7 linked regions of the Rattus norvegicus genome follow. The protein of the gene in region 6 interacts with the protein of the main gene of each other region in a pairwise test. Links are inferred from orthologs where the notes say so. Each region holds a gene or a part of one and is shown on either strand. Other genes may lie near its edges.

Region 1 (4,381 bases), on a different chromosome or scaffold from region 6:
AAACTGTCTCTCGTACACAAACAAAACACTCAAAAGTGTTTCTTCAGCTCTGATCCAGTCCTCTTGCCTCCCGGCTCCGTGAGCCCTGCAGGCCTCAGGGAAACTTTGCTGGTTTCTTTTTGTTTTCACCCATCTCAACAGCATAACTGCTTACTGCTGCAAACATCTTTCTCCTTACACGTATGAAGCCACACTGAGCACTAACTACACACCACAGCAGCAGGACGCCACCACCCTACAGTACAGGACCAACGGATAGATAGGACTCATTACTGACCACAGGGAATGAAAAAGGTCAGGAAAGGCAGATACCAGCACCCTATCTACTCCATATTTAGAGGGCACAGGGCCACACTGGTTGTCTGTGTCACAGAAAGGAATCTGCACACACACCCTATTCAAGGTTTGCGGTTCTGAGTTAACCCCTGGTCCAGGCGGCACAGGGAGGCACGCAGGACTCAGCATCCTTAAGAGTGTCCAAACCAAGTTAAACAGAGAGCCTGCAATGCAACCAATGCAACCATGTGGATGGTAAGGAGAGGTGACAGACACCGTAGACCTCAGGGACTAAGCGGCTGGCATGGTAGGCTGCCTCTGTTTCCCCTTCCTTGTGACACCTCTGGCTGCAGCTGACTTACAAAAGGGTGTTCAAAGGTGCGAATGCGCCTCCCTCTCAGATCACTGGCTCTCTGCATAAACTACAACTTAAAGGGTCAGGTTCCAGCTAGAGAGATAGGAGATAGAAAGGGATTGGGACAGGCAGACAAGACAGACATAATGAGAGAAACTGATTTCATAGATTCAGTCTTTATTATCCAGAAATTTACTTACAAAAATAATGTGCTCACACTCTTAATTTACCGAACACCTACTGTGTGTCTGACAGGAAAACACCATAACCCAGTTTTGGTTCATGCCCTGAGGAAGATCGGTGGAAAATCACTCGCACAGAGAATAAACACCATGGACACCAGATAAACTCAGGCAAGAACCTGCCGGGCTAGAGTCTCAAGCCATCTGTCCTAATTATATCCTGCTGACCACCCAAAGTCAAAACTTCTGGGCCCACAAAACAGTCTAAGCATCCTAAGGAAGGAGCCAGAGGCAACGGTTAATCCTAGCTACATGGCTCACTCCTGAAGGCAAGCCCACAGCACAGGCTGGTGGACACACAGCCATGTTTGGTCAATACTCCTTCAGTGACATTCATTGCCCTAAGAAAGTAGGCAATAAATCCCAGCTGCCACCCTGCCACTTCCTGTAAAGAGGGACAAGTCACTTCCTGCATGGATTCTTCAACCTATTCTAGTCAGATGAACACACATGGGGGTGGGGGCGGGGGGGAATTAGTCAGTGTGCTCTGAATGAGCCACGTAGTCTGTCTAGAACCCGTGACTTTCTAAAACACTGGCAATTACTCCACTCCTTCATGAACTCTCTGCCCAAGTCACTCTGCCCCTGAGAGTTGGACACAACAAATTATGCTTACCCAGCATGGAAACCCCTGACCTCCATCTAACTATTGTTATTGCATAACAATAAAAATGTAACAAAAGGGAGTCAGGGTTTGTACAATCAAACACCCGAAACAAAAGGCATTATAATACAGACCATGAAAGTGCAGAGGAACAGAAAGGCCCACCAGAGCAGGGCAAGCCCAGGAAGAAGGAAGCCGGGGGTCTTAGCAAGGCAGTAGCAGTCCCCTGTGAAGTCACAGGAGCTATCAGACTGGTCCTATCATCAGAAGAGCCCCCACCACCTCACCCGAGGGAGGTGGAGAAGAGGAGGGAGAGTCAGGACTAGGCGGCTCTACGGAAGATACCATTAGGACAGGGGACACTGGGAAAGGGATGCGCAGTGCTGGGGAGGATACATCAAGAAGTGGGTCTTAGGGAACCCAGAAAGGACCTTGAGGAAAGGGTAGGGGTACAAGGACTGGTTACTGGGTCAGAAGAAGATAAGATTATGGTGGGGAACACTGGGGAATACCTGCAAGGTCCCAGGGAAAAGGGGAGGGACGCTGGGCTAGACCCTAAGGAAGACTATGAAGAGCTAGGCGGATAGATCAGGAAGTGGGGAAGAGACAGAGACTAGCAGGGGGAAATACAACCAGAATGTGGGACACAAGCGACAGGGGAGGAATCAGGAGCTGGAGGGGAATACAATCAGGATGGGGACACAGGGGAACGCAGTAGCTGGGGGCAGGGGAGGGATACAATCAGGATGGGGGACATTGGGAAGGGGGAGGACACGGGAAGAGGAAGAGAACACAGTCAGGATAGGACACTGGGGAAGAAGAGCCATGAGCTGGGGGTCGGGGTAGGATACAATTAAGAATTAGGACACCGGGGGAGTGGGGAGGAGGCAGAGAGAGTGGCTGGGGTAATACAATGAGGATGGATACTGGGAGAGAGGCAGAAGCTGGAGAGGAGGGACGGTACGATCAGAACAGCAGACATTAGGGACGAGGGAGGGGTGTGGGTCAGAATGGAGGCACTCTAGAAAAGGAAGGCAAGAGCTGGGGAGGAACATTAGGTAAGCGGGAAGGAATAGGGGCTGGGGGGCGGGGGAGTCACGGAGTAAGAGGTGACAAGGGGCTGAGGAAATAGGCGCGGCCAGTAAGGCTGGCGTTCCTCAGAGCCAGGCTTGGAGAGGGGGCGTTGGCGAAGCGGGTTACCCTCGGAGGGGCGTGAGCAGGGCCGAACAGGGTACTCGGACCGAGGAGGTCCTGGGAAGGGGTCGCACGCGGGCGCAGGGGGACACCGCGGGCACAGTCACCTGCGAATGTTCTGGCCGCCAGACAGGGATCAGGCTGAGAGTGCAAGGTCGCCGGCTTCTCCTGCTTCTCCGCTGGACGCGCGAGTCCAGGTCCTGCGTCACCACCTCGCGCCCAGGCGCATGCGCGCGAGGCAGGTGCCGCCCGGGCCCAGAGCCCGAGCCAAGGAGTTGAACTTAACCTGGGCTGTTATCTGTTCAAAGGTGGTTTAAGTATCTTGATCTTGGCGTTTAAAGACAGGCCTTCCTAGAGAGGTGCACGACAGCCGGACTAGGACAATACAAGATGAGCCTGGGGACATCTCTGAACCAGAAATGAAGAACTTCATGCTTAAAAACAGGAAGATGGAGATGTCAAAACTGAATCGGCAAGCAAGGAACAAAACTGGAACTATTAGCAATAGCTCACGTAGAAATGTTATAGCTTAGAACAAATAGAGGAGGAAGGAGCCCGGGCTGTTAGTACAGGACTATAATCCCAGAACTGAGGAGGCTGAATCAGGAGGATAAGTTTGAGGCCAGCCTGGGCTACATAGCCATGGTCTCAAAAACACAAAACAGATAGCGAGGTGGTACACAACCGTAATCTCAGCACTTGAGAGATGTGGTAAGAAGATATGAAGTAGGGCATCTTTAGCTACACAGTGAGCTCAAGACCACTCTAGAATTTCACAAGCTCCTGTTTCAAATTTAAAAAAAAAAAAAAAACTTTTAATTATAGTGCCTTGTGTGTCTCATTTTTTTTTCTAAGTTCTTAGTGTCTCAAACAATGAATTGGACAAGGCACAGAATAGAAGTCGTCCAAGTGTACATTTATTTGGAAAGAAAAAGCATGGAATACACTCCCCAGAATGGGAATTGCCTGAGCAAGCGTAAGACTCAAGACCCCCGTGACCTTTTGTAGCGATCGTTTTATGAGTTCAAATAGAGGGAGGAGCAGATCCCCTAGGGAGAAATTAGGTAGACCCTCTACCCTGATCTACAGGATGTTAAGTAGCTTTGGATCATCTTGGATTGGTGGGTTGTGCATCCTATAGCTTTATGCATGTGCCCCTCTCATGTTTGTACCTGAAACAGTAAGCAGATTTCCGCTAATATTTCACTTCAAGGGAAAACATACACGTATACCCAGTGGTGGTTTAAGATGGACTGGTGTGTCTGCCACATCTGCCCTTCTACCAGAAAATGCCTAACATCAAATTACCTACAGGAGAGATGGGTGTTGCCCCACGGGAAGGAGACTGAAGGGAGGTGTCTGCAGGTCATCAGGTAGCCCTATGCTCGCCTACATCAATGGAATTATAGCTGTTGTACTGATTTTTTTTTTTTTGTCAACTGGACACAAACTAGAATCATCTGGGAAGAGGGAACCTGATGAGGGAAAAGTATCTCCATCAGATAAATCTGTGGGGAATCTTGTCTATTCGTGATTGACCTTGGGCAGGGTCTATCTCACTATGGGCGATGAAATCCTTTGGCAGGAGGTCATAGCTTGTTTAAGAAAGCAGACCAGTAAACAGGGTCCCTCCACATCTCTGCTTCAGTTTCTGCCCTGTTTGAGTTCCTGCCTCGCCTTCCCTGGATGACAGACTGTGATCAAGATATA
Region 2 (4,453 bases), on a different chromosome or scaffold from region 6:
AAGGCCCTGGGTTCGGTCCCCAGCTCTGAAAAAAAAGAAAAAAGAAGACAAATGAATCTGATTAACTCTAAGGACTGTGCCCAATGCCCTGATTGGCCCAGCCACATTTCTGTCATGAGAGGGCAGCAGCTGTGCCAGTCCTGACTACTACTACCCTGGGATGGTAGGAGAATGAGTATGAAGTCATTTCAGACGGTTCAAGTGCACGAGGGCTGAGCTCTTGGTTAGGCATACTCACAGGAATGCTGCCAGTGGTGGCACCAGCTCCAAATCTGGCACCTGCATCGTACCCTCCTTCCACCAGCACTGCCGAGCCAGGTGGATAGATGGGACCAACTGGGTAATAAGCCATGGGGATCGTGGAGCCTAAAGGCCCAACAGCCACAGACTGGGCCATAGGCAGATACAACGAGGCGCCAGGAAATGCAGCTGACATGGTGGGGACTGTGGCAGCCCCTGGATGAACAAAGCTTGGACGATAGAGCTAAAAGAAGCAGAAGAGAAGGCAAAATATTTCTGTGACACTGGTATTTGAAATTCCTCTAAGTATTGCTGAGACCATCTCCTGTACTTCAGGCTAGCCTGCAAGAATGTAGGAGTGGATGACCTTCAACTCCTGACTCTCCTGCCTTGACCTCTTGACTGATGGAAATAAAAGCCTGCACCACCAAATCCAGCTCACATTGGGCTGGAGACCAAATCCAGGGCTTGGTGCATGCTAAGCAAGCACTCTACCAAATCAACTACATCCCCAGCCCCTTGTTTTGTTTTGGAAATGGGGTTTGGTTCTATAGCCCAAGACAGTCTTGACCTCAAGCTCCTCCTGCCTGAGCCTTCCGTGTGCTGAGACTACTGGTCTTACCACCACGCATGGCTCATGAGTCCATTCTCAGTTCTTGTGTGTGTGGATCACACTGGTTACTGTCACTGGCACACAGTTTCTGGGTCATTTGCATCCACAGCTACTACTGGGCTCAAGGGACCCAAACTCAGCCTAACTCAGCATGTCAAATAACAAGCAGATAATGCGTTCAATTCCAATGGTAATTATTAACTTATGTTTTAGACGGTTCATAGAGCATTCTCTGCTTCTGAATTTGAAGATTTAACAATGGGGGAGGGGTCCAAGAGTGTATTCAAATAGTTAAAAGTCTAGCAAAGTGCAGTACCTCTGAGTATGCAGGTGGAGCATCAGTATAGGGTGGAGCCTGAGGAAGATGTAAGGTCTGAGGATATACTGGATTCCCAGGAGGCTGCACAGGGTAGGTAGGCTGTGTTGGATATTGACCTGGAATACAAAAGGGGAAGAGAGATGTTGTCTATCAAATTAGGGAGGTGGCAAATAGGAAAGATGCTCCTGACAAAATGCCACTCTTCCTGAGGACCCAAGTTCTGTTCCCAGCATCCACATCTGACACAACCTCTTTTCAACTCTAGCTTCTGTCTTTGTGGGCACCTACCCTCACATTCACAGACAATAAAAAAAATTTGTAAAACGGGCAGTTAACTTGGTGAGCTCAAGCAGAAGAATTGCAAACAGATTGCCCCACAGGGCCTTAGCTCTTAGAGCCAAGAAAATAAAAGATTGTCTCTGCACCCTCACAGTGGAAGGTGCTGGGTTCTGACTGGGCAGAAGGCGCTGTTCCCACTAGCATACTGATGGAGGAATCAAGTGTAACTTGGCCCCGTTCCCTCCCAAATAAAGGACAGGTCTGAGAACCCGTGCCGGGGATTCTGGATTGCTGGTGTTTTGGGGGGACTTCTAGTCCGGGTAGTCTCCCACGGACTGTGCGGTAACCAGTGCAGACTCTGTGGAACCCACGGTTCTGCGTGTTACCTCACGGGTTGGTTCCTACTCAAGGTCGACTTCCAAAGAGTGAGTGAATGGAAGTTAACCATGAGAAGGGCGGCGGCTGGGGGCGGGAGGTAAACGCGACCATGGTCTGACAAACATTAGCACAGGCACGACTATAAATCCTGGCCCTGAGGAGGGAGCGCGAAAAGTCGAAGGCAGGCGGGAAAGGATCCTTGAAGGCCGGGACTGGGCAGCAGAGCCGGCACCTCACGAGTTAAGCTCGGCCAAGGCCTGTTGTTCCGAAGCGCGGCGCCCCGCCTCTGCCGGTCCTCCATTGGCCTACCCAAATCCCTGCTCTAGCTCCCCATTCGCTCCAGCCGGTGTCAGTCACGGAAAAACACCCCCACCTCACACACTGGAGCCCGCGGCTCCAAACTGCGCCACAGAGTTTATGGGGCCGGGGCCCGGAGAGCCGAGTTGCTGCGGTGTGTGGGGGAGGGGGGGCGGACACGTCAGGTGCGGCCCCGCTCCGCGGCCTGCTGAGGAGAGCGGCCCTGACCGCCCCGAGCCCGCCGCCCCCGGGCCCACTCGACCCGAACCCGCCCGCGTCCCCGACGACCTCCGCCGCTTCCCGGCCTTGCCTTTGCTGTTCATGGTGGCTCTAATCCACTTCCACTCGGCGTCGCGGACGGTTATTTTTCTCGTCCTCTTCCTGTTCGGAGTCACTTCCGTGTCACGTGACGCCCGTCCACTCTGCGTCAGTCGATGCCCGAGTGCACTGCCGCCGGAAACCCCGCCCCCTCGCAGGCCCGCCAGTCGCTGCAAGGAGGGCGCTTACAGCCCCGCCTTTCTCGGGTGCCCCGCCCTCCCTGCGCGCTCTGCTCTCACCTCGCGCAGCTCCTTCCCGCGCGGCCCCGCCCTCCCTGCGCGGTTTCCCCCTCACCTCGCGCTTTAGGCTCAACTCATGCCCTGCCCTTCCTGCGTGGCTCCGCCCTCCTCGCGCTCCCCGGGTTCCCCGCTCTTCCTGCGCGGCCTCGCCTCACCCGGTGCCCGCTATCCTCTGCGTGGCCCCGCCCTCCTCGCCCACACCGCTCTCCCGCGCGGCCCCGCCCAAACCGCGCTCCCCTCCCTCACCGCATGCCCCGCCCTCCCTGCGTGACTCCGCCCTCCCTGAGTGGTCCCGCCCTCACCCCAAGCTCCTCATTCCTGCGTGACTCCGCCCTCCCCACGCTCCCCGGGGTCCCCGCTCTCCCTGCGCGGCCCCACCTCACCCCGTGCCCCTCATACCTGCGTGGCCCCGCCCTGACCGCGCTCCCCGCCCTCATCGTGTAGCCCCGCCCTCCTTGCCCTCCCTGCGTGGCCCCGCCCTCACCGCGCACCTCCTCCTCACCGCGAGCCCTTCCTCCCCGCATGCCCCGCCTTCACCAGTGCCCCGCCCACCCCTCACACCGGGCCCTGAAGTTCGTAGAGGGCTTGTCTTAGGGCGGCGCCCTTGCTCTGAGCCACCTCTGGACCTCAGATCCTAGCCTGTCCCGCGTTCCGGTTCTTCCAGGCCTCCTATTGACGGTCCAGCGCCCGGGGTCGGTGACCTTGCCCCCGCGCCCGGATCCGTGCGGAGGTAGACCGTGTCCCCGCGCCCTGCTTGGCGCCCTGATACAAACCATGACACCGCATCAAGCTCCTGCCCTGAGATGGACCGTGCCCCGCGCAGGCTGACCCTGGCCTGGCACGTCCTAAGGGGGCCTGTAGTCTCCTACAGACGTTGTGTGTGCCTTAGCCCACTCCCAGTTGTCCTGAAGGGTAGAGGCGACGTCTCTTAGGACCGTGATTACACTTTTCCCGTTTCCTCATGGGCACGCACAGAGTGAGGAACCGACGCAGCTGTCTGCAGAAGTTGTGTTGTGCGCGCTCAAGGAGACGGAGAGGCTCTGGAGCGAGAGGCCCTCGGTGAACGGATTCTGGATTCGTCCAACACCAAGAAGGCCTTGCTTGTGTGTCAGGTGACTATCACAGTTTGCAAGGCGTCCTGTAAATGCAGTTTCATCCAGTCCCACACAGCAGCCCGAGAGGCAAGCGGGCTTATCTGAGCATCCCTGCTTCTCCAACAGAACACTGATGGGGCTGGTGGGGAGGCTCAGTGGTCAAGAACACTTATGCTCTTCCAGAGGCTGATCTGGTTCATCCTGGGGACCACCTGCGCATGCGTGTCGTAGGTTCACGCAGACACAAAAATAAACATTTGAGAAGAAAAGAAAAACTGATCTCGAGGGCAGGTTACAGACTCAAGTTTTGTGTTCTGCCTTCCAGGTTCCGGGATCAGGATTTCCATTTTGCTTTCCTGTAGACACATAGAGCATGTATAGGCTGCACTAAATAAAGGCTGCTTGGGAACTCTTTTAGGTTATTTTAAAAATTCCCTTTATGTGTTTATATTATTAGTTTGATTCGGATTAAATCAGTATCATAAAGCCTGTGGTATTTGCATCTCCTTGACTATCTAAAGCAAAGCACCCATAGACATGATGAAATAAAAATAATAACAACAGATAAATAAAAAAAAATGCAGATGCTATACAGGGTAACCCTTCCCAGGACAACGGTCTTATGAAGGTTAATTCGCTATCCGGGCCCTCCTAGGGCTAACTCCTGCACGAGAGA
Region 3 (3,382 bases), on a different chromosome or scaffold from region 6:
CTTTGTCCACTGCTAACTCAACTTCCAGTCTCCTCTGAAAACTCAGGACTGGGCTGCGTGCAATGAGGATGCATAGGAACAAACGTAAGTTAGATTTTAAAGTGCAGTAATGAAATTACAGACTCCCCAAAATTCAATTCCACAGTGAATATAAATTAAATCCATTGTACCATATTGGTGAAGATTTCAGTTCAGAGTTTTTGTTTTTTTGTTTTGTTTTGTATTTTTTAAAGAACCCAGAAAAACAGTTTGAAAACTAATACATAAAGGCAGGCACAATAGCAAGAGACGTGCAGTCCCAGCACTTAGGAGGCTGAGGTGAGAGATTCTCCAGTTTGGAGTTGTCCTGGATTGTAAGGCAATACCCTGTCTTAAGAGGAAAAAATGAGAGAGAGAGAGAGAGAGAGAGAGAGAGAGAGAGAGAGAGAGAGAGAAACAGACTTAGTGTTTGAAAACAGATGTGGCTGGAAATGGCCTATAAGCTTCCAACAGCATTGTAAGCAGGTTGATTGGATCCTGACAAGACACTAAGAACCGTCACCATCCCTCAAATAAAGACTGAGCTGCTAAACAGTTGTGCAAGTAAGAGTTTTATAACTAGGCTCTAAGGCTGTATTAGAGGCATGGCTATAAAGAAACCCTGAAGTGACTCCCTCATCGACACTGAAGACCTACTCGGGGTCAGCTTCCCTCCCCCACACCCAGCCACCAGGTGAGCAGCTGTGCAAGGAACTGGGAGAAAATCTGCCTGTAATTCTAATTATTTTTCTATGGAGCATACTTAAATATGCAAGGCGGCTGCCTGCAGCTGGTGTGGTTCCTTTAGCTGACTCCACTACAAGATAGCAGCTCTTCAATCAAAATCCCTGTAGGTGAGGACCTTGTTGCTGTTGCTGTAAGTGCTGGAGATTAAACCCAGGGGCCTCTTGTGCACGCTAAGTGGGCCCTTGAGTCTTTTAAGAAACACAGGCCCATGATTGACAGGTCCTTAGGCTACTCACCGCAGTTGGCAGGAGAGCTGTGAGGCCAGCACCTCACTTCAATTCAGAAATGCCAGCAGAGGCCATCCCACGTCTGTAAAGAACATCTCCCCTGCTTTCTAGCACCACATCAGCTAAAGTCACCATTCCCTTAAAAAGGCAAAACACAGCTATGTATCTAAGGCTAAGACCAAGCTAGGAGGAAACTTGGTGGAAATGTGCAAAAGTTGGGGTGGGTTTTTTTTTTTTTTGTCTTGAAACAAGAACTAAGTCACATATATTCAATAAAAGTAACTCACAAAGGCATCTTTCCTTACGCAGTACTCCCTCTCCCTTAAGACTCAGCTTATAAAATGTTTATAGCACTCTCCTAAGAACAGAGCCCTCATCTGCCACACACGAGATAAGAGGTAAGTCTGCCTTACACAGCATTCTCAATTGCACAAAGACTGGAAAGGCTGAGGAGGTGTCTCTCCATGTTTTTGGATGGACGGGCTGCCTGTGTGGATTCTGTCTGGCTCTATCTCTGTAGCAGGCAAGGCAACTGCAGCTTGTGGGCCCCAAGGAAAGCTATGTAGCAGCCAACACAGCGTCAGGAACTTACTTAGAGCATTAAGAGGCTTGTTTTTTTTTAAGGTAACTCAAGTGTGCACAAAGTTAAAGAATGATAATTTCTAAATGTCAAAAGGTTGGACACGCCCGTCGGGGTTTCTGAAAGCAAATATAGGATAAAATGTCTGCCCAGAGAGCCTGGGTGACAGGGAACAGGAGACTAGAGGTGGGCGGATCCTAAAGCTTGTCAAACGCTGATCACCAAAAGGAAAAGTCCATACTGACGAGATCGCAGGTGACCTGAAGCAAGTGTCTTTAAAGTCATCCTTTCGGGACTCGCGTGAGGCCCTGGGTTCCATTCCCAACGGGAAAAACACAGAAGAAAGCCATTGCTACTGTGATCTTAGCTACTGACCTCGACCCGTTCAAAGCAGACCCCGGCAGTCTACTTTTAAGGGTGGGTTTTAGTTGTTGGCCCAAGACTGCTTCGGTTTGGTTGAATACTTTTCGTGACATTTGTTCCCATGGTACAAAAAAACAATCTGGAAAGAATACGGTTGGTCTCTTTACCCCACGTTTTCAAGTAACTAGCTCAAGGAAGCTTATTTACAGCAGAGCCGTCCTCCCCACTTGACCTACGTTAGCCCACTTTGTCTCTTCAGGAGTCCATATTTCAAAGGCTTGCCTTTCGTTTTTTTCCCCCCTTGAACCAGATTTTTCTTTTAAGTACTGTTGAATCAGTCAGGTCTCTGCTTTATTGGGCAGATAGAGAGAGGAAATCAACAAGTTGTGTCCGAAGGCTGGGAACCGCCTGAAGGCTTCCCAGCTGTCCGCAAAGATGTTGTACTTGAGAAACACTCGGTGCTCCAAGCTGGTGGACAGGGTGACGTCCCTGCTCATAATGTAGATGCCGTCATTGTGTAGTGCGCACGTCAAGTTCAGGCCTGATTTGGACGTGTTCTCCTTCAGGTAGAGCCACTGCCGAGTTTCCGTGTTGTAGGACTGCACGGTGAGCATGTCCTCGCTCTGACTGCTCCTGCGGTTGGACCCCAGTTCGTGGAGACACCCGCCCACGATGTAGATGGTCTCCTCCACGGACACCATCTGCTGCTTGCGGATATGGACGTCGCAGGTCTCAAACAGCGTCCAGAGGTCAGCGGAGGGGCAGTACTGCAGGATGTTCATGTTGCGATCTGAAACACACAAAGAGGCTGAAGCTCACTTGGAAAGGCAGGGGATAGAGAAAGGGTTTTCTAAGCAGATGGGGCAGAGGTCAGCTGAATGCTCCCCCACTACCTTCCTCCCAGGCACCCCCTTCTTGGGGGAACCTCAGACCCACAAAGCCAGACATGGTGGCTCACACCTGTAATCCCAGCACTAGGAAATCCTAAACGGGGATCTTGAGTTGAGGGCAGCCTGGAAACGGGCAGCTTTGATTTGAACACGACTTGTAGATGCTGCTTTAGACAGATGGCTATGCTTAGATGCTGTACCTCAGAGTAAGACCCCATGTCTTCTGAGAGAAGCGTTAACCTCAGCAAGCCCTGATTTGCAGCCTACCTCGGGGCAAGCTCTCAACACTGTAGCAGATTCTGTGCTTTAATGAGAAGCTCTAGCTGTCAGAGGTTTGAACCCCAGTGACCTATGCTGCTTTACACAAAATGGAAAACCCCCCATTGTAAAACTTATTACTTAGCAAAATGGTGGTACATCTACCTGGACATCCAGATGAGCCCCCCAGACTGGTGTCCTATCTGATTAGACTTGAACAAACAGGATTCACAGCACTGAAACATTGTTGCCTGCTTGGGAATGCGTGCTTGGGGGGTGGGGGGAGGATAGCACTGTAC
Region 4 (4,335 bases), on a different chromosome or scaffold from region 6:
AGAGGACCGGCCTAAACCGGCGCTGAGCAGATCCCAGCCGGCCCGCCCGCGCGCGGCCGCGCTCCGCGCGCCCCGCTATACATACGGCATACGTCGCGCGGCGCTCGCGCCCGAGCAGCCTAGAATGCTGGGCCGGAGGCGGAGCCACAGCAAGCCGAGCTTCCGCTTTCCACGCCCCAGCCGGTGACCGGTTCAATCTGGCTCAGGCCACCCTGACACCTTCGCTGTTACAGCGAGGGGGAACTGGGGCGGCGGCGCGGAGGCGGAGGCCCCGGGGAACAATGGGCGAGGCCCAGTTGGTGCCGGTGATGTCTCCCCTATCTGTCCTGTGTCATGTCCCCTCGGGTCACACAGGTACCAGCCCCGGGGGTACCCTGGCGCCCGCACCTCGATCAGCCTTTGGTGGGATTTTTAACCGAGCTTGAGCCCAGGGCAATGAAACCTGCGGCGGCTGCAGTGGGCGAGGGGCCTGGGACACCCGGAGAGGGGCGCGCCGAGGGGCGGAGGCGGCTGGCCGGGAGAGACCTTTACCGGCGCACGCCGGTTCCAAGCCTCGCCCCAGCCGGCGCGAGCCGGCTCGACTTCCCCCTCGCCCCCCCCCCCCCGTGCCCAGTCCAATCAACGCCTGGCATCGCCTTAGCAACAGGCTAACAAACGCAGCTCCGCCTATCGCTGGGCGCCCGGGGCGGGCGCTCAGCTACCAGGCTAGTTTGAGCGAGCTGCCAGTTTGAAGTCATTGAAACTATTCCAGCCTTAAGAGCCCGTCCACGCGTAGCCAGGCTTGCTGGGGCACCTCGCAGGGCGCAGGTAGTTATCTTAACTGTGAGATCGTGGTGCAACGGATCAAGTGTGTGTCCACAGAACTCGTTCTTTCCCCCCTACTACAAGTCTTAACTCTTCGAGGAAAAAGCCTTTGTCTCTTCTTATGTTTTTAAAGGGTGCGACGTCAAAGCAGGTTCAAAAGCAAATTCATGGATCTGCCCTTTTTAAAAAACAAATACGAGCGCTGTCATTAGGTACTGTATGGCCCATTCGTGTGGACGCTGCGGAAGGTGAACTAGGGAACCATTTCAGCATGTAGAACACCTCGGTGTAGCTGCGTAAACCCCAAGACTTGGCTTCACCTTTATATTTAAAAGACGGTACATTAATTCTGTGTAACTTAAAGCATCCTCCATTTCTCACTTGCGTTAAGTTCAATTAACGTCTCCCTAGGATGTATATTTTAGATACTTAAAAAAAAAAGCATGCCTCTATCTGAAAAATCGCCAGTATTTGCACTAAAATACTGCATTAGAAAGAAGAAACACAAATTACATAACCAGTTTTAACATTATATTCTTCTTGGACTAGGAATTAAGTCATCGCCACCACCTGACGCGTGTAACCAATCTGCTGAGAGCAGAACAAGCGCCCCTCCTCACCATCCCCCAGAACTGGTCCGAAACAGGATTGAACCGCTTCTAACAAAGGGTGGAAACTTAGAAAAACAAGCTTGGAGTCGCCTATATTTCCACATTGTAGCCACTTAAACAACAGATCGCAAATCTTAGGACCTCTTGTCCCTTTGACAATGCCTTAATCTTCATCTTGTACCCAAAAACCAAATCCGATGTGCCATATACTTTTCAATTCCATCTGTCTGCCATGGGTTTCATTGAATCCACGTTCCAAAGTTAGACATGATGCTCCGAGAAGAAAAGTACTGACCCGGAATGGCTTCTAAACTGACTTAATAGTTTGCATAATGATAGATATTATCCTTTAAAATAAATGGTGCTTGATGTACATTTTAAAAGGAATTGGGAGAAATGGGAAAACACGTGGGGGTGTTGATGCCATATGTCAAAATAAGCCAGGGAAACCCTTTATCAAAGAACAATAATCAAGTCTTTAAAGTCGTTTGCACGTTAATATCAAAAGCAGATACATCTAGCAACCTTCTTAAAATGTCACTACAGTTCTTTATTGGTGCTCCTTCCTGTATCTAAGATTGTAAAATAAAAGGAGAAATCCAACATTGGACTGCAGTCTTTGCAAATGAATTTGAAAATATCAGTAAAACGACGGAGTCACATTTGAACACGTTATAAGGTGCGTATGGCAGATATGAAGCCGGTTACAGATGAAGTTAAGTGCAGTTTGCACTCACTTTGCAGACGCCTGCATGGATTACAGCTTAACACGCTTGGACGTCAAGGAGAAACTACATCTTCTAAGTTTGCTACCTTCATCAAACTGCCGACTAGAACTGCATTAAAGGAGATTAAAGTTCTCATGCACAGAAGTAGAATGTAGTGACTAATATAAAAACTTACCTCTTTCGTGCCCAATTAAGATGTCTTTATGGTTGAAATATTCTACTTCTTCAGTGTAATTCTGTGTATAGGCAGTATTGGAGCCGGCGTTTCTTGATTCAGTCCAGCGTACTTTCGCATGTCCTCTTGCATGAATTTTAAGAGATTTTACTCTGATTTCCCCAGTAACTTCTAAATTTACCCTTCCTGAGACAGTGTCCCCGCTAGAATACACGGGGACATTACTGTCATTAAGACAGTCAAAGCTTATTGTCAAACTCTTTACCTTTCCCAGCACCATGATTATAACAAAATCTATAAAAATATAATAAGACCAAAAAAAGTCAAGATCGCATATAAGATGTGATCTTCACTTAACACTGATCGGTGTCTTTGCCGTGCAAAAGAAAAAAAAATCTTGCAGGCAGGATCAGTGATTGTCTACAAATAGTTCATTGAGATTTCTTAAAAAGTCAGGGCAGCAGAGAAGCCGCTGCTCCACGCTCCTGCTCGTCTCAGTGGTCTCCTTACAAAGACGGGCGGCTGGAGGCTGCCAGCTCACTTTAAGAGCAGCTTTGTGAAAAACAACCCCAGTGCGCAGGCGCAGGCCGCGACTGCAGCCAGCCTCCCTGCGCGTTCCCTCCCGCGAGGCGCGCGCCTCCCTCTCGTCGCGCGCTCCCGGTACAGTAGGTGTGGAGCCGGCGTCCCTGACTTCGGTGCATGGGCCGCAGCGATTGGCCGGCGGGCACTCCGCGCGGCTGCAGCGCCGGCCCCGCACGCGCTCCGCGAGCTAGGTAGAGGGGCCCGGCGGCGCCAGGCCAGGGTGTGCGCCCGTACCGCGGACCCGCAGGACGTGCGAGCCGTGGGGGAAGGGGAGAAACCGGTTGGGCAAGCCGCTGGTGGCCCCAGTCTAAGCTAATGAATTTCAAAAGAAAATGTAATAAAAAGCAGACAAATATTGTTCATACTAGAAAGCATTGTTGACTTGGATAGAAACAACAAAAGCAAGCAGGACTTTGTAGACAGGGTGGCAATGGACTAAGCCAAGGCCTTAGGAGCCAAAGAACAATGCTCCAGGCAGCTCTTGTCTTCAGCTGCCTTCCCAGACTCCTACAGCTTCAAACTCGACCAAGTTGTCTGTGTAGTGTGTAGGCCCGACCACTTCCTCGACGGGAGAAAAAGTCCTTTTTCAAGACACCACCTACTGCTCCATTGCAGAGAATGACGCGATTACAACTTCTGTATCCTCAGGAATAAGAATAGAGCTCACACCCCTAATTACCACCTCATAAGAGACAGTTTGAACATAGTCATTTAGCTGACACTGTTTACAACAGACTGAAAAGTCTTAGCTAGAAAAGCATATACGGTGGTTTTTGGTTTTTAAGTATGATTTGTTACATAAATGAGGCTTAATTTTTAAGCCTTACTTTTACTTCAACATGCTAATTGCCGTGCTACATCTTTAAATACAGGCACATTTCTCCTTTTTTCAATGCCTTGAGTAAAAAAATGCAGTTCTAAACATCACCAGGATTTAGAGGGTAATGGCATAGACTAAGATCATTAACAGTCAACATAACCTCATAACATGGCTATATTATGAAATCCTGTTTTATGCATAGCCAAAATCGGACGAGGTTGTCTATAGTTAAACATCAGATCCTTTTTGCATGGTAAATCCGGATAGGGCGAATCACAACAAACGAACTATTTTGCTGTTTTCTTTATTTTAAAAAAATCTACATTTTTATTTAATTACATTTTATTTGACTTGACATGTGAGCTAAAAAAATCTAGAATATAACTATGTCAAGAATAATTACTGGGCAAGCCGTTTGTCTGAAGAGTTTGGCTTGTTAAGCATAAAATTACACATTTGTGTATTTTAAGGCGGGGGGGGGGGGGGGGTAACTTTCTTCTCTCGGTTGACACCTGGTGGATAATGTAAGTAAAGTGCCTAACCCTTGGGCTAAGGGTTGGTAACAAATACTACTGGTGTTTTTCTCCCCCTAGTGGAACAGCCATGACTTTGCTA
Region 5 (3,782 bases), on a different chromosome or scaffold from region 6:
AGGACACAGAGGCACTTTCTTCTTACAACATCTGAACACTATCTATAGAGTTCCCTCCAGAAGACCAGTGAGACTCTTCTCTAGTCAGTGCCCCCTCAAGGGACAGCACTTCCCCGCACGATGGCATCTGCTTAACATATGGCCACTGCTTCTGTTTCGGGAGCCACAGGCAGTAGTGTGGAACCAGGAGCAACCAGGGAATAAATAGGTCTTCTTTCCTCAAAATAGCAGTTAAGTCAACACTGAAGGTTGCCATGGACACGGCCCTGGCTCCTTCAGGGGCTTTCCTCAAGCTAAGTCAGGCTTAGAAAGTTCCAGATGACTCAACATTCAAACATGCAGAAACCGGAGCAAGCAGGTCATTTTTAAGTCCTATACTACCCAGACCTTGAAGCTCTGCAGAGTTCTCTATCCGAGCTTCCTCCTCCTCCCTGAAAAGCAAAGCTCTAACCAGCAGCTAAGGGGTTACCAGCTCTACCCACTCCAGTCAGACTCCAGTGGTTCGGCTCCATCGTAAAGGCTGATTCTGCATTTCCCTTTGACTTGAATCCTCGGTGTACTCTCCTAAATTTCTTTTACTTATTGTTAACTATTTAACAGGTTATAAAGAACTCAGGCGTACCCCGTCATTTTCTGGCTGATCTTGGTCAATGTGCCCAGAATGGTGACATTCAACAAGCTCATATAACTCGCTACAAATGAACAACAATGCCGACTGAGTGTGCAAACACAGCTTTCCTGAAAGCTACGCCTCAGATGCGTGTGCACACACACATATGTATAGCTAGCCACCTTTGCATTTTCACCAGTGTGTAATTGTTTTAATGCAACGGAATCTCTCTGCACATAACTTAAAACACAGTCCGTGACCTCTTCTACACTCCATTCTAACCGCAGGTTAGTGAAGGACTGCTTGGTCACTGCAGGTCAGTAGTGAAGGGCTGCCCACACTTGCTTTTAGCAGCCTGGCCATTTTCAGGCAGCCACCAAATGGGAATATCTCAAGGAGCAGCCTTCTTCGGCCCCTGTGGAAGATTTCTTGTGGAGCCTGCGAACTGTCCATCATACCTTAAGCAGGAGGTGTACAGCGCTACAAGGCTGGACCGGGAAGAGTTTCAAGGCATTTTCTTTGTCTGTGCATTTGGCTGGTTGAAATTCTTCACAACAGAAGCAGATCTTGCCTTCACCTAAGTCCACCTCAAGGAAAGATGCAGGACAATGATTGTATTATTTAAGGGGAAAAAACCACTCTTGCTACACACACAGCATGCATCATACGGAATGTGATGGGTATAGTTCCATGTCAGGCAATCTCAGGCAAGATTTGTATAATTTTAAAGTGTGTGTGTGTGTGTGTGTGTGTGTGTGTGTGTGTGTGTGTGTGTTTGTATATTATATGCATGTGTATGTGTATATGTATGTCTATGTAATGCCATCAAATGCCAAAAGAGGGCACTGGATCCCTTGGAGCTGAACTTACGGGAAGTTTTAAGCTATCCAATGTGTGTGCTGGGAAATGAACGCAAGTGTTCCAGAAGCGGAGGACATGACCTTAAACTGCTGAGCCATCTCTCCAGCCTCAAAGTTCATTTCTTACAAATGCTACAAGGCCACTGCAGGCCAACATGAGGCTGTTTGTCATATGCCTTTGGGGACTTAAAGTTGTGAAACATCCACCATCTTGGTGCTGTGGAATGACCGACACATCCGAGAGATTGAAAACTCAGAGTACCTGACACTTAAGGCAGGACTGTCAGATAGGTGACAGGATACCCAATGGACATGTGAATTCTCCACAGTAAAAGAAGGTCTCAGCCATTGCACAAGGCGTGCCGATGGCAACAGAAGAGGTCACGACCAGTTCATCTGGAGTTCAAACTCCAGTTGTTCTTAGTTCTCTTCCATTGCTTTAAGTCATCTCAAAAATACCTGTAAACTTTCTCAAATGCACAACTTTCACCCTTCAGCCTCGAAGTCACTACCCGATACTACCAGATCCTCGCTCTCCCTTGTTATGCCCAACACCGTGGCGCCCAACACTGTGGTTCCCAACCTTAGCTGTACATTGGCATGTTCTGGAGAGCTTTGAAAAAACATGCTGAACCTATATTTAGCACGACCTTGAAGCTATGAATGAGAGTGGCTCCCATAGCATATGTTTGAATACCTGGCCCCCTGCTGGTAGACTTTTTTATAAGGATTAGGGGGTGTGGCCTAGTTGAAGAAGGCATGTCACTCACTGGTCAGGCTTTAGGTTTCAAAAGCCTATGGCATTCCCCTGTTTGTCTACTACTTGTGAATCAAGACACGAGTTCTCAGCTGTTCCTAACACTATGCCTTTCCTCCGCCATCATGGACTCTAACCCTCTGAAACCACAAACCCAATTAAACGCTGTCTATTATAAGTTGCCTTGGTCATGGTATTTTACCACAGCAATAGAAACCCTAACAGATACAAGGCCCTTTCATACTAAGGAACCTCATAACTGAAGGGACTGCATCAGCTTCCTTTCCTGACTGGTTGCCACCATGCCCTCTTCTATTATTTTAAATATCTATTTTCTACGTCACCTGAAGACACTCGTGTCACATCAAATGGGCTTCTAGTGCTCATCACTATCATTTGAACAAAAAGTTTTAACGCTTGATTTAAGATTTGTGAAGAACAGTGAGAAACCACAGCAGGTTTTGTGAGTTCCTGGGGAGTTTTCTGATTGGAAAGGTTATGGGTTTCTCCACAAGAGTTGACTACAGTTTTTCTAGTAATAAGTCAGCCTTCTTGGCTCACATCCTCTTAGTTTCTATAAGTAGACTGCAATGGACAAGTTCTAAATAAATAAGATTTATTATGACTTGTTAAGAGTCTACACATGCTGCTTTGTACCGAGGTATTTATTGCTAGAAGTCTTTTTTTTTAAAGGTTTAGATACCCAGAAATACACAAAGGAACTGACAGCAGGGCTTGTAAGGGCCATGTGTGCACTCCTGGTCACAGCAGCCTTATACACAACAGACAGGGTTGCAACAACCCATGGTCCCACCCACAGATGGGTGGACAAAGTGTCTCGCAGACACAGACAATGGAGTATCAGTCAGCCTTTAAAAGGAAGAGAATCCAGGGGCTGGAGAGACGACTCTGGAATTAAGAGCGCTGGCTGCTCTTCCAGAGGGCTCGCATGGCAACTGTAGTAACTCCTATTCCAGGGGATACGGCACCCTCATACAGACATACACTCAGTCAGAACACCGAGGTTGGTAAAATAAAAATAAATTATTTAAAAAGAGAAAGGGAATTCTGACAGACTATACTATGGCTATCCCTCCAGGACAGTAACCCAGAAAGACTAACACTGTGTGACTCTATTTGTATGGACTAGTCTGGAGTACCTGAATTGATGAAATAGACAGTGGAGTGCTAGTAGCTGGAGGAGAGGGTGATGGAGCGACATGAAGAGCCCTGGAGACTCTCTGCACAGCAGTTTAATGTACAGTGCTGAATGTATACTACTGAACCATACATAGAAAATGGTCAAAATGGACTTTGCCACAATTTATAAAACTATTTATTTGGGGTGGGTCTTCTGTTTTGTTTCTTTTTTTGTTTGTTTTTGTTTGAGGCTAGTGATCTCTCTCTCTCCCTCCCTCCCTCCCTCCCCCTCCTCCCTTCCTCCCTCCCTCCCTCCCTCCACATAACCCTGGAATTCACTATGTAGAACAGGCTGGCCTTGAATTCACAGAGATCATCTGCCTGCCTCTGCCTTCTGAGCGCTGGGATTAAAGGC
Region 6 (4,446 bases):
ATATTGTGGATAACTATATAGATTCACCTGTCTGTACCATCATTCCTAGCTATAAAAATCTTTTAAATTAAAAACAGAAATTATGTGTTTGCGATGTGTGTGAGTTGGAGGGTTCGTGCTCAGGATACTGCCAAAGTGTGGGGGCAGGGGATACCTTTCCCGAGTTCGTTCCATCCCCCCTGGCTTCTGGAAATTGAACATTACTCTTCAGGCTTGGGATAGGACGCCGTTTTACAGTCAAGCCGTTTCATTGGCTCAAGGTGTCAGCTTCAGATGTGGGCTTTTCAATTCAAAAGTCAGGGCTACATTCTAAAAGCATTTATCGATCGACTTCTTGCCGGATACTGTGTTTTAGATTCTGGGTCCGCATAGTGAACAGAACTCATGGAATTTATAATCTAATGAATAAAGATACTACAATTATCTGTACCTTGGAGAGTGATAAATGATAGAAACAGATACGAGCAGGATGGAGAAGTACAGGGCAGTGTATTGCAGGAAGGGTGTTTGTACACTTATTTAAATGCTGGAGCCAGTGGGAACCTGAGTTTATGACTCTTATAACTAAGTCATTATAAATGTTTTTGCACTGCAAAGCTTGAGTGTACTTCACTCAAGTGCTGGGATTAATGGCGTGGGCCACAATACCAGGTATTAGATGTTTAATTTTATACTTATGCATGTGGGTATGGGACCATAAGTGTAGATGCTTACAGAAGACAGAAGAGAGGTGTCAAGTTCCCTGGATCTAGGCATTCAGGCTGCTCTAAACCCTGCCTCCCCAGTATACGAGAATCTAAGCAGCAAGCGCCCTTAATTGCTGAGCCACCTCTCTAACCCCTTCATTCGTCTTTATATTCCACAGTCCAAACTGTGTTTTCATGCAGGAGAAATGAGAAGCAAGGAGTCTCTCCGTAACCGCTTTCCAGGGTGACTATTTAGGCTTGTTTAACCGAAGGATCCTATGAGCATCTTCAACCCAAGCGGCAATTCTCAGCACCTCTCATAGGGCAGCGGCTCTGTTTCCATAGCAACCAAGACGCGGAGCGGGTTCGGGGTCGGAGTAGCAAGACCAGACCTGGCACCCAGGAAGTACTCGGATAAGAGAGGAGCGGCTGGCATAGCCTGGGGCGGAGGAAACGACATTCCAGAGCCGCGCACCTGGCCTCACTTCTCTGGATCTGCAGGCTCTCCGGCCTCCAGCATCTCCAGCTGCCACAACTTCCGGCCTCGAAGCCCCTCCCCCCGGCTCCGTGGCTCTCCCGGGTCCTCACTGCGGAAAGGTGACTGTGGCGGCTGCCGTGCCTGATCAGTTGTCGGACCAGGGGCTGTCGCGTCCTTGGAACAGCAGTGAGGCCATTACAGGGTGCTAGCACTCAGCGGAGCGTTCTGCGGTCCCGCCGACGGGGCTGGGGCAGAGGCGCCCAGGCGCGGAGCACGCAGGCGCGCGCGGGGCAGGCACGGCGGCGGAAGTGAAGGCACGGCTCGGCCAAGCGGTCTAGGAAGCCGCGGCCGGTCGCCCAGCGGGGGCAGTCGGAACCCCGCCAGACCGTCGGGATTCAGCTCCCGTTGCCGGCGCAATGCCTCTGTTCACTGCCAACCCATTCGAGCAAGATGTGGGTGAGTGCGGTGCCCGGCGCGCTGGGTGCTGGGGAAAGTGGGCGGCGGCCCGGGTGCCTAGGAACCTCGGCAGAGAGCGAAGGGGCGGCGCCGTTCTCGACGGCGGGGGGCAGCCTCGGTGTGTCTCTGGCTGGGCCAACTCCTGCCTGCTGGAGATTGGGGTACGGGGCAGGGTTGTTCCCGGCACACAGAGCAGGAGTGGGGAAAATCCAGGTTCATTGGAGGCTTAAGTTGTTGATACAAACTTCCTGCTTTCTCCCGAGCTAGTTAACACCCTTCCCTTTGGAAGAAAGTGCAGTAGTGTGACACCTTGTTTGCTGCCCAGGGCAGTCTCGAACTAGAAGCCTAGACTTACTAGGATTAACTTGCACCGCTTCCGTAAGCACACATCTAAGTCCTGGTGGTTGCAGTTTCAGTGTTTATTGACTGTTGTGAAGGTGCTGCGAGAGCCAGGCTCAGAGAATGAAAAGGAAAACTCCCCGAATCTTTAAATAGCCCAGAACAACCGCTGTTAGTTGGAGTCAAACTTTACTCTGGTAGCGCATGTCTTTCAGAATGAGAAAAAAGATGGATAGGGTACGACTAAATCAATAATATCAACAGTAAAAGCACTGGCTAGCACCATTTTTTGTGGTAGTAGTTAACAGGCTTCTAGTGAGGTTTTTGAGATTTAGAAATTTCCAGTCAAACAAAAGTTTAGCAGTGAGCAACCAGTTTGTTCAGTTAAAATTTCTGCTCAGTTACGAAAAGACTAGAAAGTGCTTCATCTTGTTAGAAGTCTCAAAATCAGGGGTTGGGGATTTAGCTCAGTGGTAGAGCACTTGCCTAGCAAGCGCAAGGCCCTTGGTTCGGTCCCCAGCTCTGAAAAAAGAAAAAAAAAAAAAAAAAAAGAAGTCTTAAAATCATGTTCAGATCAAGTGAGTGTCTAATCTAATTATATAGGAAGCATGTTGAGGCTTAGTCACTGTTTAAGGAATAATTAATTGTTCTTTTGTAAGGATACCTACGTGAGACATTGGACTTTTTGAGTGTTACTGGACTAATTGAGTTTTGAGACAGAGTGGAGTCTCTATACAGTCTCGGCTGGCTTCAAATTCCTAAAACCTCCGTCTTCGTACAGAGAATTGTGGGATGGCGGGTCTCGGTGGGCCTCCGCCCTGATTGAGACCTGTGCTTCTTACTGTTAGTGTAAACACTTTCGTTTTGCTCTAATGAAATGAATGTGAAGAAGCCAAGTAGAAGAAGTTATGTTATTTTTCTTTATTAGTTTGTTATTTACATCCGTGGGTGTTTTGCCCACATGTTATATTTATCACTTGTACGCGGTGCCTAAGGAAGCCAGAGGCCAGTGGCAGATTACCTGTGACTGGAGTTACCCACAGTTGTGAGACAGTTGTGAGCCGCTGGGTGGGAGCTAGGAGGAGCTGGGAGGAGCAGGGAGGAGCAGGGAGTGCTCTTAACCAAGCCATCTCTCTAGCCCAAGACAGGTTATTTAAAATATAAAACCTGTGAACTTTCTTTATTTTTTAGAGATAGGGGTTTCTCTGTGTAGTCCTGGCTGTCCTCGATCTCTCAGTAGATCAGGCTGGCCTTGAATTCAGAGATCCAACTGCTTTTGCCTCCCAAGTGTTGGGATTAAAGGTGGGTGCCACCATGCCCAGCTTAAAAGCTGTAAACTCTATCCTCAAGGGAAAGTTTCCTAGAAGCCTGCTGTTTTCTTTTTTTTTTTTTTAATGTTTTTTTTTTATTTATTTATTCATTTATTATATATAAGTACACTGTAGCTGTCTTCAGATACACCAGAAGAGGGCATCAGATCTCTTTACAGATGGTTGTGAGCCACCATGTGGTTGCTGGGATTTGAACTCATGACCTCTGGAAGAGCAGTCGGGTGCTCTTAACCGCTGAGCCATCTCTCCAGCCCTTTTTTTTTTTTTTTTTAAACATTTATTTATTATGTATACATCATACAGCTTTCTGCCTGCATGTATGCACCTGCAGGCCAGAAGAGGGCACCAGACCTGATTATAGATGGTTGTGAGCCACCATGTGGTTGCTGGGAATTGAACTCAGGACCTCTGGAAGAGCAGACAGTGCTCTTAACCACTGAGCCATCTCTCCAGCCCAGCCTGCTGTTTTCTAATTGGAAACCTTCTGCTGTAAATATTAGGAGCTGCTCTGCCCCGTTTACTTTTCTTCACATCCTCCTCGGTAGTTTCTGAAATCTTTGCCTCACAGCTTAGTGTAGTTTCCTTAGGCTCTGGACTTCAGACAGAAGCAAACAAACAACAAACAGAAAACCTGGGTAGATTATTCCATGGGCTGTGAAATTTGTTTGAGCCCTCTTAGCTGAATGCAACCAGAAAAGAAAATGGGACGACATTCTGAGGAGCTCAGATTGCTCTAAAACCAGTATCAGGAAATTACGTGTTTTTCGGACCTTAAGGACTCTTAATGTGAAAGAGTTAAGTAATGCAAAGCAAGCCATTAGCTGATTGAGCATTTTACGGCAGTATCTTTATTACTGTAGTCTGTGTGTGTATTACCTGTGTTCACTCTTCATTCAGCCAAAATGCATGGGATGGTTACTGTGGATCAGGTGTTGTATTATGTTCTGCAGAGACAAAAATGAGTACGTATGCTGAGTTTTTGCTCACAAGACACTCGAGTCTAAGGAAGGACACATGTTCCAGTAGATAGTCGTACTGTAATGTGTACTGTAATATGATTAATGTAGTTTGATAGATATGGGGAATACTTATCCCCTCCACTCCTTGACTACAAGTTATTGTCTCTGAAGTCAAGACAAGCAACTCTGTCAGGTAG
Region 7 (4,573 bases), on a different chromosome or scaffold from region 6:
CCTGCCAATTAACTTTCATGTATTACAGGGTCACAGACAGCATCAGGACCCTTGCTGGTCAGTCCTTCCATCACAAGAACCAGCCAAATGTACAGCTGGCACTGCACAAATCAACTATCACCAGTTTTATTTATCAATGTACTACAAACAAATCATGTAAGAAATATCATCCTGAGAAAGTACTGCAGTAATAAATCCAGTGACTCCCACAACGGAGGACGACCTAAGAAATAATAATATGTAAACTCTACCTCACATACTGAATTTAAAATAACAGATGGCTTAAAATTCAAAATCCATTTCTAAAAAATAAGTATTTGTAATTTTACAGTGGGTTAGGAACATAATTCAGTGGTAGCCTGTATTCTCAGCATGCACAAAACAGCCCCCAACACCAAAATTGAAAACGTATAAATAACACACGAGCTTTGTTACTCTTTAGGCTAGAATTATAAATGCTAAGACAAAAGTGATCTCTTCCACCTCTCCACTTTATCCATTCATGTACTTTCCCTTTATGTGGCATTATAATCTCAAATTATGGTAACATTCATCTTTCAAAAACCTTTTTCTTATTAGTTGGCCACAATTGCAATCTAATCACTTTTCCATTCCCCAATTTCTCTTCTGACAGACAAGACTTTCTCATAATATGCTATGCAAGGCATCAGAATAAGCCCTTTGGGTCGTTTAGGTTTTGCCTCTCCTAGCAGCTGTGACTCCCTGAAAATAATAAGCATCACCTTTCTGCGCACAATTCCCTACCAAGTATAAATTAACTATTCTTGTTCCTCAGTATACAATAGGGATTAGTTCTAGGACACACTTCTGCTCCACCCCAATCCCCACTCCAACCCCATCTTTGGATGGTGAAGTCCTTTACATATAATGGCATAATATTTACATTCAATCTATTACACATCCTCCCCATAGTTCAAATCTATACATTACTTACACTATCTAATAAAATGTAAATGCCATGTTAAGTAGTTGTTACACTTTGGGAATGACAAGAAAAAGAAAGACTATTTCTTTCTCCAACAAGAAGGGCTGATAGCACATCATCGTATTACTATGGATTCACTCACAGATCTGTCTCTTGAACTATATCATAAACCCCTTAAGAGTTTAGGGGTGTACCACCACCGACAGTTCTGGGCCAAAGAAGACTGGAAATCAAGCGATAAAACTTTTGAATACTTCCTACATAGCTCTGTATTAGTAAATGATCTGACAGACATTTGTGAGGGACTGTGGTCTATCTTTGACCAAAGACACACACCCTTTCTACTGAACACACACTTTCCACCACTTCTTTAAGGGGAGAAGATTCAATTATGTCTGATTCACTCTCAATACAAATGTTTACAACACTGGAAAGGGGGCCACATTTGAAATATAAATACATAAAATATCTAATAAAAATGCAAAAAAAACCTCCAAATGCTTACAACATAATAGAACTCAGTACATTTATAACCAAATAAAATCTAAGCACATTTTCTTTAACAACATGGTCCTCAAAAATCTTAAGAACCTATAAATTCCAGCATCTGGTTCTTTTTTTTTTTTATTCATAGTAAGATTTGAGAATGTTTTCCAATACAACTGTTGTTAAGAAGACCTGCAGAGACGGAGGTAGGAACAAGAACATTAAAATATGGGTAATCGTTTAACACCATGCTTACATTCCACTTTATCCAAAGAATTTAAATGGGAGTGGGGAAAAAAAATGTAGGCACAACCTGTAATTCAGTATAAGCCCTACAGAAAACGAGATACTAGATTTGCAAACCATGAGTTAATTTTTAAAGTGTTGTTTTAATCCACAAAATTTTTACATTTATCCCATGACCAGCTGGTTCTCATCTCACCAATGCCCCGCCCCCCTCCTCACCTTCCTACACACACACACACACACACACACACACACACACACACACACACACACAGAGGAGTCCCTGTGCCAAACCAACCATCATGGGGAAAAAAACCTAAACCATGTGGTTCGTTTCCCTGATTCTTTATGGAAATAGTCATAGTTCTTTTTCCCAAAGGAAAATCACCTATTCTAACGGGAACTGGGAAGGAAAAGCAGCTCATTATCAGTTTCCCACAGGGAAGAAAAAAAAAATGGTATTAACTTGCAATAAGAGACAGCCTTTCCACCATGTCCCCTTTACAACCTAAGTTTAAACTTAAGGGTTAAGAATTTTTGTTTTGTCTTCAGGGTACATTCGCAGGAATGGAGAAGTGAGGCATTTCAGTTTGCAGGAATAGGACCCCTTCAAAAAAGATCCCTCGGAATTTGTGTGATCCACACAAGCCTGCCATCCAGCAAGATTCCGTTATACAGAAAATGCCACTCTCCACCTCCCCCGCCATCCGGAACACTGACAGGAGAGGACAGCGGGGGCGACGGGGCAGAGGCGAGGGGGCGGGACGCCACGCACCGCACCGCACGGCACCGCACCGCACTGGGGACTCGCACGGGGCTGCTGGGGCCTTCTGCGGACCCCGTTTCCTCCAGCCGCCGCCGCCCTCGCCCCGTCTCCACCCCGGCGCCGCTCCCGGGACCTAGTACCGCGCGGCCTCCTCAGCCCGCCGTCACCCCGCGCGCCCCTCACACCCCACGTCCTATCGCGCCGCGCCGCGCGAGGGGCCGCGTCGCACCTGGATGTAGTTGTTCTCGCAGTAGTCGGCCACCCGCTCCAGATTCGTGTAGCTGTCGAAGAGAGCCCGGCGGCCCCCCGGGATTTCCTCTTCCAGCAGCATCTGCAGCTCCGCCATCTTCACATCCTCCTCTTCCTCCTCCTCCTCCTCCTACTCCTCCTCATACAGCCCGCAGAGGCAGCGGCCGCGACGCCCGGGAGAGGAGGAGCAGCGGCGAACGCGGCGGGAATCGGGAGGAGCGAGCTGCACCCCCCACGGCGCGCGACAGGGGAGGGGGCGGCGGGAACGGAGGCGGGGCGCGAGCCGACAGGCCGCGAGGACGGTCACCGCGGCGACGGGCGAACGGACGGGCGCGCGCACGCGCGCTCCCCTCCCTCCGCCCCCGAGCGCCCGAAAAAGATTCCCACCCGCGCCGCCCCTCCCCCACTTCCGGCGTCTCCTAGCGACGGGAGGGCGGGGGCCGGGATGCGCGCGGGAGCGGGGCTCCCGGTTAACCCTTCGGCCCCGCGCGGCCTTCCAGGCTCTGGGAGTCCTCAGTAGCCTTTGTTAGCCGGGCGGGAATGGGCCGCCGCTCCCTGCTGCTTCCCGCTGCCCACTGCTGCTTCCCGCCGCCGCCCCCCATCTTCACCTCTGCGCTGCACCCGGGGCGGGAACCCTGTGGAGGTCATCTGCCTAAGGAAGCTTTCCAGGCCCCTGTGGAGGCCTAGGGAGAGGACACAGCCCCTTCACAAGCTCTGTGAAATATAACACCTCATCAGAACAGGCAGAGCCACTGAACTTCCAAGCAGCTCTAAATGCCACCTTGGACCTCATCGTCTTCTTTACAAATTACTGTTACCTAATCCCAAACCAATTCATTCATTCATTCATTCCCTTCCTCCCCCTGTCCCCACTTCTTGGCATGATCTCCAGTGTAGACTGAGCTGGCTAGAATTACAGCTACAAGTTGTAGTTGCCCAGCCTGGGCCTCCTTCTCACTTGACTTTTTTCAAAATTTCGATGGTAGCTTTGCTGGTACTAATTTCTTTATTCACATGGTTGTCGCATGAATAAAATTAAAAAACACACATTGACAAATGTGCGTTTTTCAGATTAAGTACTACAAAAATTCAAGGTAGTTCATTCTGATCTTGTAATCTGTATATCTAATCTTTTTTCATAAATATGATTGCCCCACAATTGTGGAGTAAACCCTGTGTTGTTACATTAGCTTTATGATAAATACATTACCAGTGTGTGTGAGCTTTTGTAGCAGAGCCTAAAACAGTATTTTTAAATGATGATATGGTCCAGCTGGATCTATTGTTGACCACTTTAGACACCTGTCTTAGCGTGAATGTTCTAAGTGTGAGAAGCTTGTGAAAAACAAAAGGGAGAGCTGGAGGGGAAAGAAGAGAAACCTAAAGAGTATATAGGGAGATAGTTATGTATAGGGCACATACACTTAGTTCAGGAAATGAAAGTACAAACAGCTGAAGAAAACAAACTCCAAACTTCAGATCAGACTCTTAGACAAACTTCAGTAGATCAAAAACCTGTGTTGGGCTGGAGAAATGGCTCAGTAGTTAAGAGCATGAACTGCTCTTCCAGAGGACCAGAGTTTGGTTCCTAACATCCCTGTCATACTGTTCACAATAGCCCTTAACCCTAGCTCCAGGAGATCCAACACCCTGCTCTGGCATCCACTGGTGGACTCATGTGGCATATTCTCACATAGAAACACACACATAAATAAAAAAAAAACTTTTAAAGAATTTTTTAAAGATTTATTTATGTAATGTATATAAGTACACTGTTGGTATCCTCAGACACACCAGAAGAGGGTGTGGGATTGCAGTACAGATGGTTGTGAGCCACCATGTGGTTGCTGGGATTTGAACTCAAGACCTCTGGAAGAGCA

What was found.
Region 1: the proteins of Stam2 (region 6) and Plekhb2 interact in binary tests that used the Homo sapiens proteins (3 or more experiments, as listed by UniProt). The two-hybrid records come from large-scale screens. The link is inferred for Rattus norvegicus from reciprocal best matches to the Homo sapiens genes STAM2 and PLEKHB2.
Region 2: the proteins of Stam2 (region 6) and Dazap2 interact in binary tests that used the Homo sapiens proteins (3 or more experiments, as listed by UniProt). The two-hybrid records come from large-scale screens. The link is inferred for Rattus norvegicus from reciprocal best matches to the Homo sapiens genes STAM2 and DAZAP2.
Region 3: the proteins of Stam2 (region 6) and Klhl42 interact in binary tests that used the Homo sapiens proteins (3 or more experiments, as listed by UniProt). The two-hybrid records come from large-scale screens. The link is inferred for Rattus norvegicus from reciprocal best matches to the Homo sapiens genes STAM2 and KLHL42.
Region 4: the proteins of Stam2 (region 6) and Arrdc3 interact in binary tests that used the Homo sapiens proteins (3 or more experiments, as listed by UniProt). The two-hybrid records come from large-scale screens. The link is inferred for Rattus norvegicus from reciprocal best matches to the Homo sapiens genes STAM2 and ARRDC3.
Region 5: the proteins of Stam2 (region 6) and Entrep1 interact in a two-hybrid assay, tested with the Homo sapiens proteins (2 studies listed by BioGRID and IntAct). The two-hybrid records come from large-scale screens. The link is inferred for Rattus norvegicus from reciprocal best matches to the Homo sapiens genes STAM2 and ENTREP1.
Region 7: the proteins of Stam2 (region 6) and Abi2 interact in binary tests that used the Homo sapiens proteins (3 or more experiments, as listed by UniProt). The link is inferred for Rattus norvegicus from reciprocal best matches to the Homo sapiens genes STAM2 and ABI2.

What each region holds. Positions count from the first base shown.
Region 1 is NC_086027.1:44,543,966-44,548,346, reverse strand, and holds the start of Plekhb2 (pleckstrin homology domain-containing family B member 2), read right to left. Parts: upstream 2,875-4,381; 5' UTR 2,779-2,874; intron 1,771-2,778; exon of another isoform or gene 1,612-1,770; intron 1-1,611. UniProt on the Homo sapiens protein: Involved in retrograde transport of recycling endosomes.
Region 2 is NC_086025.1:133,591,932-133,596,384, reverse strand, and holds the start of Dazap2 (DAZ-associated protein 2), read right to left. Parts: upstream 2,849-4,453; 5' UTR 2,739-2,848; intron 2,684-2,738; exon of another isoform or gene 2,615-2,683; 5' UTR 2,450-2,614; coding exon 2,437-2,449; intron 1,289-2,436; coding exon 1,170-1,288; intron 485-1,169; coding exon 239-484; intron 1-238. UniProt on the Homo sapiens protein: In unstressed cells, promotes SIAH1-mediated polyubiquitination and degradation of the serine/threonine-protein kinase HIPK2, probably by acting as a loading factor that potentiates complex formation between HIPK2 and ubiquitin ligase SIAH1.
Region 3 is NC_086022.1:181,755,121-181,758,502, reverse strand, and holds the end of Klhl42 (kelch-like protein 42), read right to left. Parts: exon of another isoform or gene 3,249-3,382; intron 2,726-3,248; coding exon 2,274-2,725; 3' UTR 573-2,273; downstream 1-572. UniProt on the Homo sapiens protein: Substrate-specific adapter of a BCR (BTB-CUL3-RBX1) E3 ubiquitin-protein ligase complex required for mitotic progression and cytokinesis. The BCR(KLHL42) E3 ubiquitin ligase complex mediates the ubiquitination and subsequent degradation of KATNA1.
Region 4 is NC_086020.1:12,871,701-12,876,035, reverse strand, and holds the start of Arrdc3 (arrestin domain-containing protein 3), read right to left. Parts: upstream 2,835-4,335; 5' UTR 2,599-2,834; coding exon 2,319-2,598; exon of another isoform or gene 1,354-2,318; intron 1,143-1,353; exon of another isoform or gene 1,006-1,142; intron 118-1,005; exon of another isoform or gene 1-117. UniProt on the Homo sapiens protein: Adapter protein that plays a role in regulating cell-surface expression of adrenergic receptors and probably also other G protein-coupled receptors.
Region 5 is NC_086019.1:231,031,051-231,034,832, forward strand, and holds part of Entrep1 (endosomal transmembrane epsin interactor 1), read right to left. Parts: intron 1,198-3,782; coding exon 1,069-1,197; intron 1-1,068. UniProt on the Homo sapiens protein: Functions as an activator of the E3 ubiquitin protein ligase ITCH in the ubiquitination of the CXCL12-activated CXCR4 receptor. Thereby, triggers CXCR4 endocytosis and desensitization, negatively regulating the CXCL12/CXCR4 signaling pathway.
Region 6 is NC_086021.1:57,640,944-57,645,389, reverse strand, and holds the start of Stam2 (signal transducing adapter molecule 2), read left to right. Parts: upstream 1-1,474; 5' UTR 1,475-1,580; coding exon 1,581-1,620; intron 1,621-4,446.
Region 7 is NC_086027.1:69,319,598-69,324,170, reverse strand, and holds the start of Abi2 (abl interactor 2), read right to left. Parts: upstream 2,967-4,573; 5' UTR 2,791-2,966; coding exon 2,674-2,790; intron 1-2,673. UniProt on the Homo sapiens protein: Regulator of actin cytoskeleton dynamics underlying cell motility and adhesion. Functions as a component of the WAVE complex, which activates actin nucleating machinery Arp2/3 to drive lamellipodia formation.